4 linked regions of the Drosophila melanogaster genome follow. The protein of the gene in region 2 interacts with the protein of the main gene of each other region in a pairwise test. Each region holds a gene or a part of one and is shown on either strand. Other genes may lie near its edges.

Region 1 (3,467 bases), 1.7 Mb from region 2:
AATATTCATTGTGAAATATATAAATATAAAACTCACTTAGGTTCAAGGCGTCTCCCAAAATGGGTTTTACAATATCGCAACCAGCATCCTTTGTTATTTCGCACAGCGTATTGTAGCGTACGTGGTCCTGCTCCACGGAGTAGATGCATCCCTTGTTCTGCATCACATTGCATATGTGCACTGTCTTCATACCGGGAGCTGCGCACATATCCAGCACAGTGGCCCCAGACGGCGGAGCAAGTAGTTCGGCGGCCAAACAGGTGGCCTTGTTCTGCAGTATAAACCTCTTGCTGTGCACCAACGGATGGCGGACCCAGTAGTTGGACCACTTGGCAGGAAAAATGAGCACACCCTCAACGTGCAGATCGGTCATGAACTCGTTCTCCGCCAGCGATTTGATGGCAGTCAGAAAATCCGCATAGCTGGCGTCCGCAGGCAGCTCCTTGCGCCGCCAGTCGCTTTTATGCAGGTAGTCCAAGGCCTCCGCCAAGCTGTATAGATTTGTGTTGATGCGCACATATCGAGGATTGGGTTCTGTGTGGGCAAACAAAAAGACGAGTTCAAAATTGTAGCCAAAGTAAGATTTATTAAGAGTTGTTAAGAGTCGTTACTGGTCCTTTAAACGATCGAAATAATCTGGACTTGGCTGGCAGCACTTAAGTTACTGTTCTTTCTTTGGCTCCGCAGCTTCCGGCTCGTCGTCCTCATCCTGCTGCACGGGTTCCAAGGGTGGTGGGGGCTTCTCGCGGAAAGCCTTTAATACATACATGGCCACCACGAGGTTAACAACCACAACAGCCGTGAGAACTGACCAACAGTTGACCGTGAAAAGGTCCAAATGGGGGAAGGACTCCTGCAGCCAGCTGCGGACGCCATAGAAGCCCAAGAAGGGCAGCGTGAACATGAGCACACTGTAGGCCAACAGCCAGAGGAAGACCTCCGCACTGGTGTCCTCCTGCTGCGTATGATGCTCCACGGGAGAATCAATGACAGCCGGGGAATCATCAGTGGTAGCTGGCACCACATCGACATGCTGTTGTTTCCTGTTCTTCTTGCCCATCTCAGCCGGCTAATACTGGTAATCGGTGTGATAACCTGCCTTTTCGCTGGACACCGAAATCTCTGATGGAATTTAGCAGTCGATCCTTGTAACTTCGCACCGTTTGCACGGGTTTGCTTTCGCCGTTCAGCTCCTTCCTGCCAAACAGCAGTTCGGTGACTAGAATCTTGGCCAAACTGGGATCAAAACTGGGATTGTCCCTGAGCAGTCCTGTCTCTTCGATGGCCTTTTCCAGTGCCACACGATTTTCGCTAAATTTTTTCAGAACCGTATGCAAAGAGCGTGTACGCTACAAGTGAAGTGCGAGAGGGAAAAGTTATACGCATATTGGTTTGATCTGCGGACGAGAGGTCCAATCCACTTACGGCATGCTTCTCTGCAAATATTAGGGTCTTGATGCACTTCTGCTGCTCCAGTGCCGCCTTCAAAATCTTGGCAGTCGCCCTGTATTGGGTGGGAACTTTTATGGAATGCGGTTTTTTACTCATTGTCGTCACGTGCACGTGTATGTGTTGTTTGCGCTAGAATAGGTGCAACCCCAATCACGACTTTATCGATATATGCTTATCGAATGTCAGGGCTGGAGATAAGCATGTGGCGTTTGAAACAAATCATATTGTTATTCATGTTTTGAAAATATCTACAATTAATGTAAAGGTTGTTCTAATTTTGCCAACGATAACTACAAAACATATATGTTCTATCCAATATATTTACATACAGGGTATCAAATTTACAAATAAATTGGCAGTGTGGCCATACGTTGCGAGCAAAAATTACTGTACTTCAAGCATTGCCAACACAAGAATATTTTCATGGTTAAAAATTTTGGCGCGATAAAGCCGCAGTTTAAAATGTCAAAGTGTGCGCGTTCTTGGAGGTTTACCAAAATTTAGAATCATGCTTTTATTTATCGTGCATAAGTTGGTAAATTGGAATTAAATCAAGTTTTTTCCAATTTGTTTCTGGTGTGTCGTTTGTTTTGGGGTCTGTACGGCTGCTTTAATTAAAAAATATTAAAATGAAGCACGCTATTCTTTAAGGACTTTAAGGAAACGTACCTTTCTATGTTTGCCCAGGAGTTGATAGACGATATCAAGGCTGAGGATCGCATCCTACAATGTCCTTGGTGCGAAGAACAGACGTTGAGTCCATCAGCCAGCACCCGGAAACTTTTGTATTGGCTTTTAACGCTTTCAATTCGACTTTCAGAAAAGAGTCTCCTCGAAAATCACGACTGATATCCATGTAAATGAATCGGTAGATACTTGCACTTTCTTTTTAGTTATTAAAACTGACACACTGTCACTTTGCAGGTTTTAACCGCTGGCGGAAATGAAGAAGGAATCCGGGAATATTCATTTCAGTCCATTGTGGTGCACAGCGGAACTCCCCTCAGGAACAATCTTAGCCCACTAAACATCAATAAACTACTAAAATAACTTTGACTGCTGCTTAATTTCAAATATACATAAATTAATATTTTTTATTTTTAAGTTAAATTTTTTAATTCTTTTGGAGGCTCAAATTTTATATTTGGCGCAGCACTTTAATGTAGAAAATGTGAATAAAGAAATATTTCAAGGGTAAACAACAAAAAATGTTTTGATTTTGTAAAAAAAAAAACCTTAAAAATTATGAGGAGTTATAAAATAATTATCAGTTTCCGGAACTTTAAAATTCTTATCTTCAATTTGATCTTCAAGACATATTTTTCTTATAATAATATTATCAATAATATTATATAATATGTAACGGATATTTAAGTTCTTCATTTTCTTTTTCAGAAGTATTAACAAATGCATATATATAAATACATATATATTTATACAATAGAATCGCATAGGCATGAATTCAGCGCGCAAAATAATATAATTACAATAACATTGATATTATATAATAGATTATAATAATATACATATGTAAGTGTAAGTTATAAAATGGTAACAAAGTTCAACAGCTCATAGGCGAAGATCCAGTGGCACGGAATTTTCAATACAGCCAGGAGAACATCCTAATATTTTGGATAAACTCTTTGTGCCACTGTTCCGGGTGATGTGCATCATGTCCAGCACGGAGGACCTTATGTACCACTATTGCTGTTTCCTAGATTAGGATTCGCTAAAAGCTTAAATTGTAATTTCAGATTCCCAAAAATAGAAAATACCGCCAAAAGTCAGGGCAATGGCACTGCAGAAAGGATGCAGGATATTATATGTTCTTTTTGTTTTTCTCTCCCCAGAATTTGGCCCAATTAAATTTGGTATTCGAAAAAAAGAGCACGCCTCCTCCCCGAAACCGAAAAAAAACTCTGTGGCGCCGGGAACAAAAAAGAGCGCGAGAGAGTGAGAGCGCACACATAAAAAACATAAACAAGCCTTTTTCACTAGTGTGCGTTTGTGCGGAG
Region 2 (4,991 bases):
GGAGGCGGGTATGTTCTCCTCGCTTCCGCCAGATGAGGACTCAACGGATATATTTGTGGTCGTCTCCGCCAGGCGCTGAAACACAGATTTTGGTCAAGTAAATGGAGTTCCAAATTCCGACTGGTCCGAATGTCCACTTACCGGCACTTTTATGGTCGCGTTCTCATCGATGGTGTTCAGAGGTTTCTTTGAGCGTTTTTTAAATTGTTTATACATAGTACTGGAAAGCTTTATAAGCTTCAATCTTCAATCTTAAATCACAAAATAATAAAAACAAAACAATTTAATGGCGCGTATGCAGGTGCAGTGTGACCGAGCATTGACATCAGTTTTTATCGATAGCCGCGGTGGTCGAGGTTCGTGAATTCGCTAAGCGCAATAACGAATATCGTAACAATTCTTATACAAATTTTACGATTTTCAAATGATTATAAAAATTAACTAATAATTCAACTCTTATAGAAATACTTATTTTTTTTTAACATTACTAATTAAAATCTAACAAAATAAATGAAGAAACGACCTTTAGAGCACTGTGTGTAGAAGTCTAAATAAAAATCCACTTTCGTCAATTCAAATTTTTATTGAAACATAATCTACATAATTCGTACAAAACTATTATTGTATTTTCTTTTTTTTAGGTTTACATAACATTCAATCATACGTAATGACTATAAAATGTTCCTTAATTTTATGATCGATACGGAAGCATGATCCATAAATTGATAATCGTATATGTAAATAAGATGATTATGAGCTTATTTGTTAATTTAAAGCCTTTCGATTTTAATTATTTAACTCGGGTGCTAGATGTCTCTGATAATTAGATAAATATTTCCTAGTATCGATTTTCAACTCTTAAAAGTGCAAAAACTCTATTGTGCCATACATTTTTAAATGTATATAAATACGCTTTATAAAAAGGAAGTACAACATATGTATGTCTTGAAGTGATTATGCCAGAAATTGACTTATTCCGGGGCCATTTAGACCCTTCACTACCTAGTTCATAGAAAATCACTAATTTGGCGTTGTTTTCAGTATTGCTATTGAGTATATATAATGATGAACATGATGCCGATTCTATCACACCAATGCAGTCCAAAGCGAAATTTGCGATTCTTTCACAATACTGTGCTAACGGAAACTCAACTCAGTGTCTTCCGGTTATTGCTTTTCATATTTCTAGATAGTAATAAACTATTGTTTTTTCGCTCGTCGTCTCTTGAAGCCCGTCATTTGCTTGAGCAGCTGTGAGTTTTCGTCATCCAGATCCATATTTGGCTCCCAGAGCCGCAGTCGTTTGGGTATATAGATGAGGCCCAGTAGAGTTATAGCTAAAAAGGCGAAAGATTCAATTTACTAAATGGTTCGGGGTGTTACAAAAAAGATATAATTTGTTATTACTGAATTTTAGTTGTGTTTACTTACAATTTAGCACACACGGGAAGATCACGTAGAAGTTAATGGTGCTGGAGCGAAAGTAGAGTGCCTCGGTGGCATAGAAGACCATGGTGAGGGCCAATGAGCAGCCGCCCATGCTGACCACCCTAAACGTAGGGAAATATCCCCATTAGTGACGATAATCTAACCAGAGGATATATGGGATTCACTTACGGCTTGTAGTGAATGTAGAGGGTGCAGTGGACGAGAGCGATGGCCTTCAGCAGGCAGTACATCCCGATGATCCGCGATATGGTGTAGTCCCCTGTGAAAGAACCCATCAAATGCGACTCCAGCAGCTCAATCCATCCCCACTTACCCTCTATGAACTGGGTGTCGCTGTGATCGCCCAGGAAGCTGCGTCTTTCTATGTAGCTCCTAAAGGCCGTGCCCAGGTCCATGAAGGCCACGAATGCTATCCATCCCCGGAAGGCGTACAGCAATCGCTCGCGGGGTCGTCCGCCAGACTGCATGGCAGCCCTACAAGTAAATTTTCTGTGTTATTTAATATCCATTCTCCCTTTAAAGGAAAATAATTTAATCTAAGGAATGGGTTTACCAATTGGTCTAATGTCCAACACAACTTGAAGACTTTATTACACATATCAGGGTTATATATTTAGAAAATTATTTGAAATTTTGACAAAATGGTCATTATACTGCAGAAAACTTGTAATAGAATGTACAATGTAACAATTCGTCGTAAGGTTTTTTTATGCCTACTCGTATTCGTGTAACGAATGTTTTAAGATATAAGAAAAACTCATTAAGAACCTTAGCCAGAAAATATACAAATTTAGCTCAGGTCATAGTATCATTATGCTTAAAGCAGACCGACCCAGTCTAGATTATGATGATATAATAAGAGAACCAACTATGTACATATTTCGGTATTACAAAGCCATTAGAATAAACGCGATACTATTGCGTGTGCATAATGAGGTGCTTTTGTTTAAAGGCTTTTAGCACAAGCATGAACTCCAAGCGAGCAGCCGAGTCCAATGGCATCGGTGGCAACCGGCTTATCTTCCCCTGAGAATCGCATCGCACTCGGAAGTCCCAGCACATGCCACCACCCACCCCACTCCACTTCACTCCGCAGGTCTGGGCAAAATCGATATTATGGCACACTATGCTGCTGTGCTATTTGCGCAATGCAAATATGCGGAGCGTAATTCCCGGCTGCACGCGACCACGTGGAGCGCTTATGGTGGATCCACCATTAGTCCCGGTTGTTTATTTCCAAGCAACATCGCCGACTGGGTCGTCCGAGCAACGCGATTTATGGGCCCCGGACCAACCGGCTAGCCACTATCAGGCGGTTCACAATAAATGCACCACTGGCTATGTGTGTATTTGATTTCGGGAGCACTCCTCAATTCACTCACATTTTGCAAAGATTCCCGTGTTAATCAGCAGTACCGCGATCCGTCCCACCCGGCGTATGCGTAATATTTGTTTGCAGCACTGCCACTGGCACTCTTGTGTCCCTCAAAAACCTATTTTATGCAGCAGCGATTGTTTATTTCATATATGTGTATTTTCGCCGTTCAGCTGTAAACGCGACCGATTCTCGTACCGCCGCCTGCAACGCCTTGCCAGCCACTAAAAGTCTAGAATGGGAAAGTTTCGTGCGAGGACAGGCAGCTTTTATGCTTTCGGAGCTTTGGTTCTTGTTGATTGGTTCGTATCGCACCGGGAATACCTGGAAAAAGTGGTCTAAGTCCTCAATTAATATAGTATGATTATGATTAAAAAAAATATATTCACAAGTTGGCCATTACTGACTTAAAAAAAAAGTGTGGCTTGCATTTTTAGCATCATTTTATTTAGCAAAGTACAAAAGTTGTAAACTGTGTTCAATCGGAATTGCTATATGTATAGGCAACATGTATAAAAGATCAACAATTTGTCAAGTTCTATGGCTCTCTTGGGATGAAACTGGTCTAGTCTGGTCTAGTCCTTGCCAATGTTGGCCTCAGTCTTGCGGTACTCGGCCCAGTCGACAAATCCATCGTTGTTCAGGTCCATGGACTTCAGCACATAGTCAATGGTGTCCTCCAGAGCCTTGTCCGTGTACACAGATCCGGATTTGTGATCATCGGGCTGCTGCGCTTGGCCCTCGGCGTGGCCTTCCTGGTGTGCCTCGGCTGGTTTTTCTCCACTATCCTTGACTAGAAAGGTAATGTACACTTTAAGGCTCCGCTGGGCATGGTTAACTTGTTAGCTAAGCTCACCCGAAACCGGAAAATGTGTTCTAGTGTCTACAATTCTACTTGATAGAGGGATTACATGTGGTGGTCGCGTGTGATTTGAAGTTGACTTTATTCGCTAATTCGGCTTTACTTACAGAGATTTGCATGCGTCTATATAGTAGGTTTCAGTTTAAAAAGACGGGGTTTTCTTCGCTTATTTTTTTGCATAGTTTCATTTTCTTTTTGTACAAAACAAACGTTTACACAATCAGTCTGTTTTTTTTGCTGCTCTAAAGTCGCGCTTAAAAATTAGTTCATATCGAAAAGTAACTAAAATTATGACAATCGAAAACAAAACGAAACAAGGCGGCTGGAATTGCACAACCCACTCGAGAGATTCGTGAGAAATAATATTCGAAAATGCGAATCTTTTGAAAAAAGAGTTCTCAGAAGGACGTTTAGTTACAATTTGTTCAATGAAGTTCTCCGATTGGAATGCTTGCAGCATGTTAAGTAAATTTCATTCAAATTTATCTAAGAAGTGCGCTAAAATCGTCGACGAGGTCAACGTAATTTCAGGGTGTTTTGGGCAGAAACAGGAGTATGTGTTGCACGTCACAGAGCGCGGGACGAGGACATGGTTTTATGTATGTAAACTGAACGCATCTGGGTGACTACTAATGAACCGGCTGCTGCTGCTGCTGCTGTTGCTGTTCGTGCGGCTGCTGTTGTTGCTGCTGCTGCTGCTGCTGCTTCTCGGCGGCCTTTTGCTGCGCCTTAATGAACTCCGGATAGTCGATGTAGCCGTCGCGTGAGGTGTCGTCCATCTGCAGGATGGGATCAATGAGGGCCACCAGCTCCTCGTCGGAGAAAACCTTCTCCTCCACATGCGGCTTCTCACCGTTCGGCTGCTCCTTGCTGCCTTGCTCTGCATGGCAATGATTTGTTATGGCGGATGCGAGATGGATTAGCATGAGATTCGAGCATGACCACAACCATAACCGGAAACAGCCCAGTTTTATTACGCATATGCAAAGAAGTAGAACAGAATAGTGGGTCAAACAAAACGAAATACAGAAACCACAAACGCAACTCTAACCAGCGAGCCAGATTAAAAAGCAGTAGCTATCTTACCGTGCCAATGGATCAGCGATTTGATCAGCTCGCAGCCGTCCAACTTGTTGTTGTTGTCCGAGTCGTGCATCTTGAAGTAGTGGAACTGCAGCTCAGCCTCGGACATCTTGCTCGTATCGATTGGCACTTGCATGTGCTCCTGGATGTGACTGAAATTGAAAGAGTAAGGTTTGGTATTAGATCCAACTGATCGTTGATTTGGTTGAAGAAATAGATCAG
Region 3 (3,222 bases), about 11 Mb from region 2:
TTGGGATGGTGCGGATAGTGACAAGGGCAGCCGGCACTCCCACACACACGGGGATTATCTGGAAGCGGAGACCAATCTGCATGACTACTGGAACTTCGAGGAACAACGCAATTGTCCCCAGCCCGTGGAACCAGAGTTCTTCGACCGACGGTTCGCCTTGGGACACCACTTTCTGTATCATGTGGAGCACGAAGAACGGGATACATTACTGCGACCCGTGCCAAAGGATAAGCCCATAGTATTTCCCGGGGACCTACGCTTCCAGCGGCAGGGAGAGGAGGCAATTGACTCCAACATAGATCAAGGTCCGCCCCTGGCGCCGTTTACCACAACATTAGCTACACCAATTGAAACAATTCCTGCTTCTTTATCCACAACAACCGCATCGATGCCACCTTTCGCACAGGAGAACACCCAAGGATGTGGGATAAATGTAGAGAGCCGACTGCTGGGAGGAGATCAGGCTAGTGCCGGACAGTTTCCCTGGCTGACAAGGATCGCTTATCGCAACCGAAGTAAGTACATCTTATGTTAGGCTAAATACGCAATTTCGAATTTATTTTACCCAACGCAACGCCTCTTAAATGCTCTTAAACTTACTCCGCATTGGAGATCTGAGCCGGGCCCAATGCCGTCCTGTCTGCGCTCATCCAATTTCACTGGCCACAATAACCATTTTTAATGTAAGGTAGACGCCGACGGCAAAGAGCAGAGCAGCCAGTCCCAGAGCCTTGGGTCCGCGATTGTTTGGTGGGGCACTCAGCCCAAAAGGTCCTCCTCCGCCTCCACCACCGCCATTGGGAGCATTTCTGCCTCCGGGACCACCACTACCTCCAGGGCCATTTCTTCCTCCAGGGCCACCACCTTTTCCTCCAGGGCCACCTCTTCCTCCAGGGCCTCCCTTACCGCATTTATTGCACTGCTGTCCGCCGCAAGGTTTGGGGCCACACGTTCCACGCTTTTGGGGCGGGCCCCCTCCACGACCACCTGGGCCGCCTCCACCGGCACCAGGGGCACCTCCACCAGCACCTGGACCGCCCCGTGAGCCAGGAGCTGGGCAAGAATCAGGGTTGTTGCTCTGAGGTGGTAGACTTCTTCCTGAACAAGGGCAAGCGCACATGTTGAGCTGAAAACAAGAAAAAATCTTTATTCTTACAGAAGTTTTACGATAATATTTTCAGGCAGCAGCCGCATTAGCTTTCGCTGCTCCGGATCCCTGATATCCAGCAACCACATCGTAACTGCCGCCCACTGTGTGGTCAACCTAGTCAGCGATTTGGAACTGTAAGTCTAAAGCCTAATTAAATCTTTTGTAATCCACGCTCTTTCGTAGGTCCCATGTTCGATTGGGAAGTCAGGATGGGGCGACTCCGTTTGCCATCGAGCAGGTTATAGTTCATCCGAACTACGACCAGCCCAAGTATGCAAATGACATTGCCCTCCTACGAATCAACAGCACTAATGGTAAGAGATTATACTCCTATCCTAGGTCAATGATTACGCTGAATAACCACCACCAACCTTGCAGGCACTTTCACACCCATATGCTTACCCTTCAACGGGCCAATCACACTGGGAAACAGGCTGATAGGACAAATTGGAGTGGCTGCTGGTTGGAGTATTGGGAGTACTGAAAGTTAGTCTCGAAACAACTTTATATCTGATCTGTTACATTTTTTAACTTACTATCAATGCGATCGAAATATAATTCAGTGCATATTAGGTTTTAAATGTATATAACATTCTCTACTACAAATTTTATCCAGATAATAGTTCGATGGACCCCTCAAACTCCACCGCTGGGGTGCGCTTCATCCGTTTGCCCATCGTGAACACCACCAGTTGCGCCATCGCCTATGCCAGTCTCAGTGAGAACTTCCAGCAGCCTATTGTGATTACTCCCAACCACCTGTGCGCCCAGGGAATGCCCATGAATGACGTGTGCCGAGGCGATAGTGGCGGCCCCTTTATGGACGACGGTACCTCCGGCGTCTTTGGAACAAGTGGACGTTATACGATCATCGGCATCGTGGCCTTTGGACCGACGCTGTGCGGCGTGACCACCATTCCGGGGGTCTACACCCTGGTGAGTAGCTTCTCCGATTGGATACTGCGAAGCATCGCCGAAGGATCTGACCAGTGAGCGGTCGTGTTGGGAACCCATCCCTAGCAAATTACATCCAAAGCTTCCAATGCCAAAGTCTTCAGAATACATCGACGTAAAGAACAATGATTCATACATTCTACGGATAAATACAAAAATTCGGTTCCACTTCAAATCACCTAAATTTCAATAAAATGTACGTGTATAACAATCGTATTCATCAAATTTGTATTTTTCTACTGTATATGGCGGATGTCAATGCTCTCATTTTATTTTCAGAAAAACAATGTTCTTTTTTTACACGAATACAGTACAAGAATCAGAGGTTAACATATTATTTTTTCATTAATTGCTTCTGACTACTGGTCTTAATTAATAATGTTAATAGACGGCGAAGAAGGTATAATTATCTTATAAGAGTTCTTAACTTATCGCTTAAAGAATTATAATTGTTTTAACGCCTCATTTTAAATTAGTTACTTCCTCAAACAATTTGGAAGCGAGAATAAAATATGTGATTTAGCTTCAGGATGATTATATCTATAAATACATAATTAGGTATTTAATGTTCCTATTTCGCGATCCAATATCTTGCGTGTAAAATATTTTTTAGTTTTATTTACAATTTTACAAATTCTTTTGAAAGATACAAATATAGCTTGCTTGCAGTAAACAATTTTTTTTTTCCAAGTTTTATTTCTAGTAGGACATAAATAATGGCAATAAAGAATAACTGGTTTTGTCCACAAATTGATGTTCTTAAACACCCCTTCATTCGGTGAAGTAAAACAATTGCTTTTGCAAATAATTTGTTAAATTGCATTAGTTGTAATCCTTTATTCCTAGAATAGCATCATTTACTTTTGGGTACTTTACTTAACGTATAATAAAGCTGCAATAAAAACAGGAAGTAGAACATTGAAACAAAGGTATTTGAGTTGATAAATACGATATAACTTTTAAATGTAATCACCGCATTGTAATTTATTTGCTTAAGATCTGGTTTTTGTATTATAAATTAAAGTTTCATAAATAAGTTTTATAAATTGAAACCCAATTGCCCTACACAGCGATATCCGCACGATCATATTTCAAGCCCTAGTGCAAACTGAAGTTTA
Region 4 (3,118 bases), on a different chromosome or scaffold from region 2:
AAAGTAAAATAACATTTGCTTGTTTCCGTTTCATTCTTTTTTGTTGTCGTTGTTGTGCCTCGTTTCGCCCGTTCTGTGTCGTCTGCCTGCCCGCATCATCATCAACAATAAAAACAACAACCACCGCACCACTAAACACCAAACACACCCAACGCCTTGCCAAAAACTTCCAACATCCAGACACCAATAGCACGCACCACCATCAGCAACATCAACAGCAGCAGCAGCAGCAGCAGCAACACCACCACCAGCAACACGTACTGCTGTTGCAGCAACACCAGCAGCTTCAGCAACATCAGCAGCAACAGCAACAGCAGCAGCAGCAGCAGCATGTTGCCTTGGATGGCTACAGCGCCACATTGGCCAATTTGAAGAAGCAACGCTCGCTTTCACGCACCGCCAATGTCCTCAATACTTTCGAATTGTCATCCCAAACAGCTAGCAATGCCCATCCAATTGCAGCAGCTAATGCCACAACAACTAATGGTTCTGTTTTAGGAGCCGGCGGCAGCAGCAGCAACAACAACAACAACCTGAGCACCAGCAACAACAACAACAACGGATCCGCACCGATCTCGACGCAGCCAACATTGGGTCACATGGGCGCGGGAAGCGTGCTATCCGACTTCGAGGGCTCCTCGCCGGCGGGCAGTTCGCTGAACAAGTTCAGCGGCATCACTGGCGACGTGGTCACCGATAGCACCAGTTCCAGTCGCAGGTGTTGCGTCCTGATGTAGAAACTTAGCGAACTACTAGAGTCACAGGGTATTAGAGCAGCCAGAATTGTCAGAGGGATAGGCCATTTGTTAAATGGCAAGAAAAAAGTGTCTTTTTATTAGATTAGCCGTATTCAGTGAGTGAATTGTTGAATGTTGATTACACAAATGCATGTTGGTTTTGAGAACGGGGTTCGATTCTGTGAGCTCCTAGATAACGGCTGAAAGTCGTTGCATTTTCCTAGCAGACACAACAACACACTAAAGACACACACAACCAATTATACGAAACAAATTTATACAAATATACAACCATATGTATACATTTTAAAGAATATTAAAAGAATTACGTATAAAATAATTGTGAGCAGTTTACCTTAGGCGATATATAACAACTAACTAAATCAAAATGAAAAAACATCAAAAAATATTTATATAGCAATGCTAAGTAAGAACCTAACTTAATAGATTTGCTTGGAGTGCATTAGGAATATCTGTGTTTCCGTGTGTGAGTGTTACAACCGAAACAGGCGAAGTATTATGCAACAAGTAAATATTTAACTAAATATATAGTACGATAGCAAAATTGTAGTTAAACCGTGACAGCAAAGTAAAGCAAAGCAATGAGACGAAATGCATAGCACTCAAGCAATTTCCACATATAAGTGTCTAAATGTTTGAATTGAAGGAATGTTAATAATGCCAGGCGGCATAGAGATTTATTTTTTAATGCAACTACTTTGCTCTGCGTTATGTAAGTTGAGTTTTGTTGAGAGGTACAAGAATATATGTATTATTTATGTAGCAGCGGTCTTTGTATATAAACCTACACAATTCCAAAAGATGCAAAAACAACGCGCAATTAGCAAATGAGACTTTTTCGATGAATGTCAAGGCATTAGCTGAACGTTTTGTAAAATAAACAAATGAAATACGAAAAAATTACACACAAATTTGATTTGATTTTGCGCCAGTTAGTTTTTTATATTCCTGTGCTTATATTTCTTATGAAGAATGAAGTTGAAGTAAATATCTACTCTTTTAAATCTCGCGCCAAGGTGCTCCACCTGGCGGGATTTTAATGAACCGCAAGCTTGTCATATGGAAGTAAGTTGGCAGCTTTGCGCATCAGCTGTTGCCTCGTTCGACTTTTGTTTACATTTTTATTGGTTTAAACTTATAAGTTTAAAGATCTAACCTAATGGAATCACTCGCAAAATATCGATACAGTTTGGTGGCTGGCTCCTTCGCAGCTGCAGGAAGCTTTTTCGGAAAACTTCCCAGCCACCTGAGCGCCCAAAAACTACTGAATACTTCGCAAATAAATGAAGACTTTTCTTATTTAGGCAAGATTGTGATTTCTTCAAACAAGCAAAATGTTTATAAATTTATAAAATTTTATTTTATTTATTAGAAATAGCATTACTTCAGCTGCTGCCACTAGTGTTAATGGTAACATGCAACGTTTGCAACTTGCGTTTCTTTTTGAAGGCCCTGCAAATGACTGAACAAACTTTAACGTGCGTCGTTTTAACTGCCGCTTCGAATTATGTCTTATCGGTAGGTGATCCACCGATCTATTTGTTCAATTATGATTACTGTTCGTTATATAGTTTGTCCTAGGTGCGCTTGTTTATCGGGAGCCACTGACAGTACTATCTGGCATCGGAATAACTCTCATTCTGGCTGGTCTTTGGTTTCTTTGCGACGGAGGAACAGTCGAGTCCGAAAAGCAGGACAAAATGGAATAGTAGGAATGGGATTTGCTTAAGATTAGCTTCTTTTATACACATTTTTCATTTGCCATATAACTTTCTGAAGCAGGGATAAAAATAGTTAAAGAAACTTAATTTTCCATTTGTAACTTTAAAATATAAAAATGTTGGGAACCCCAATTAGTCCAAAAAAACGAATGGTTTATATACTTTTGTTTAATGTATGTACTGTTTTGCAAATACATAGTTTTCATTTCATTTATAATGCACTGTTAGTGTGCACGCTTCTTCATTCACGCGGCAATAATTACAACTATTATGTTTTACGTGGTTTTGTATTTTTGTTTTCATCGTTTGTGTGTAAAAGTTTGGCAGAACAAAAAAAGGTGTTGAAATGGGATAGAGCATGACAGTAAGAGCACAAACTATAAATATATTTATCCCTTCGTTTATATATATAGGTAATAGTAATTAATTTTTATAATTCAGAATCGTTATTTAATTGCTAAGACGTATAAATACTTTTTATATTCTTTCTCTCGACATCTGTAATCATCAATCAGCTTCAACGCAGCCAAACAGACAAAAAGTAAAATCAAGCAAGAAATGGCAGATCCAAGTTACATACAAGTTTTGCCCATCTGTCGTTTGTTTTCCTTGGACGAAGTAGTGTTGTGTCCTGTCCTA

What was found.
Region 1: the proteins of CG17270 (region 2) and CG42359 interact in a two-hybrid assay, tested with the Drosophila melanogaster proteins (one large-scale study listed by BioGRID).
Region 3: the proteins of CG17270 (region 2) and CG31415 interact in a two-hybrid assay, tested with the Drosophila melanogaster proteins (one large-scale study listed by BioGRID).
Region 4: the proteins of CG17270 (region 2) and CG42495 interact in a two-hybrid assay, tested with the Drosophila melanogaster proteins (one large-scale study listed by BioGRID).

What each region holds. Positions count from the first base shown.
Region 1 is NT_033777.3:19,160,691-19,164,157, forward strand, and holds CG42359 (uncharacterized protein), read right to left. Parts: upstream 1,611-3,467; 5' UTR 1,549-1,610; coding exon of another isoform or gene 1,426-1,548; intron 1,350-1,425; coding exon of another isoform or gene 1,100-1,349; 5' UTR 1,061-1,099; coding exon 662-1,060; 3' UTR 569-661; downstream 1-568. Other genes in the region: Nsun5 (Nop2/Sun-like domain containing protein 5), read right to left, coding at 37-534, 1,100-1,349, 1,426-1,548.
Region 2 is NT_033777.3:20,815,878-20,820,868, forward strand, and holds CG17270 (uncharacterized protein), read right to left. Parts: upstream 3,053-4,991; 5' UTR 2,834-3,052; coding exon 2,832-2,833; intron 1,924-2,831; coding exon 1,763-1,923; intron 1,709-1,762; coding exon 1,618-1,708; intron 1,551-1,617; coding exon 1,432-1,550; intron 1,338-1,431; coding exon 1,201-1,337; 3' UTR 568-1,200; downstream 1-567. Other genes in the region: Fancd2, read right to left, coding at 1-75, 142-216; CG17271 (uncharacterized protein), read right to left, coding at 4,316-4,566, 4,773-4,921.
Region 3 is NT_033777.3:9,741,974-9,745,195, reverse strand, and holds CG31415 (uncharacterized protein), read right to left. Parts: upstream 1,680-3,222; 5' UTR 1,637-1,679; coding exon of another isoform or gene 1,529-1,636; intron 1,465-1,528; coding exon of another isoform or gene 1,334-1,464; intron 1,285-1,333; coding exon of another isoform or gene 1,182-1,284; intron 1,127-1,181; 5' UTR 1,121-1,126; coding exon 647-1,120; 3' UTR 534-646; downstream 1-533. Other genes in the region: CG34409 (uncharacterized protein), read left to right, coding at 1-515, 1,182-1,284, 1,334-1,464, 1,529-1,636, 1,767-2,143; Pnn (pinin), read right to left, coding at 2,977-2,996.
Region 4 is NT_037436.4:18,665,518-18,668,635, forward strand, and holds CG42495 (uncharacterized protein), read left to right. Parts: upstream 1-1,843; 5' UTR 1,844-1,917; coding exon 1,918-2,062; intron 2,063-2,130; coding exon 2,131-2,276; intron 2,277-2,329; coding exon 2,330-2,467; 3' UTR 2,468-2,618; downstream 2,619-3,118. Other genes in the region: MYPT-75D (myosin phosphatase targeting subunit 75D), read left to right, coding at 181-737.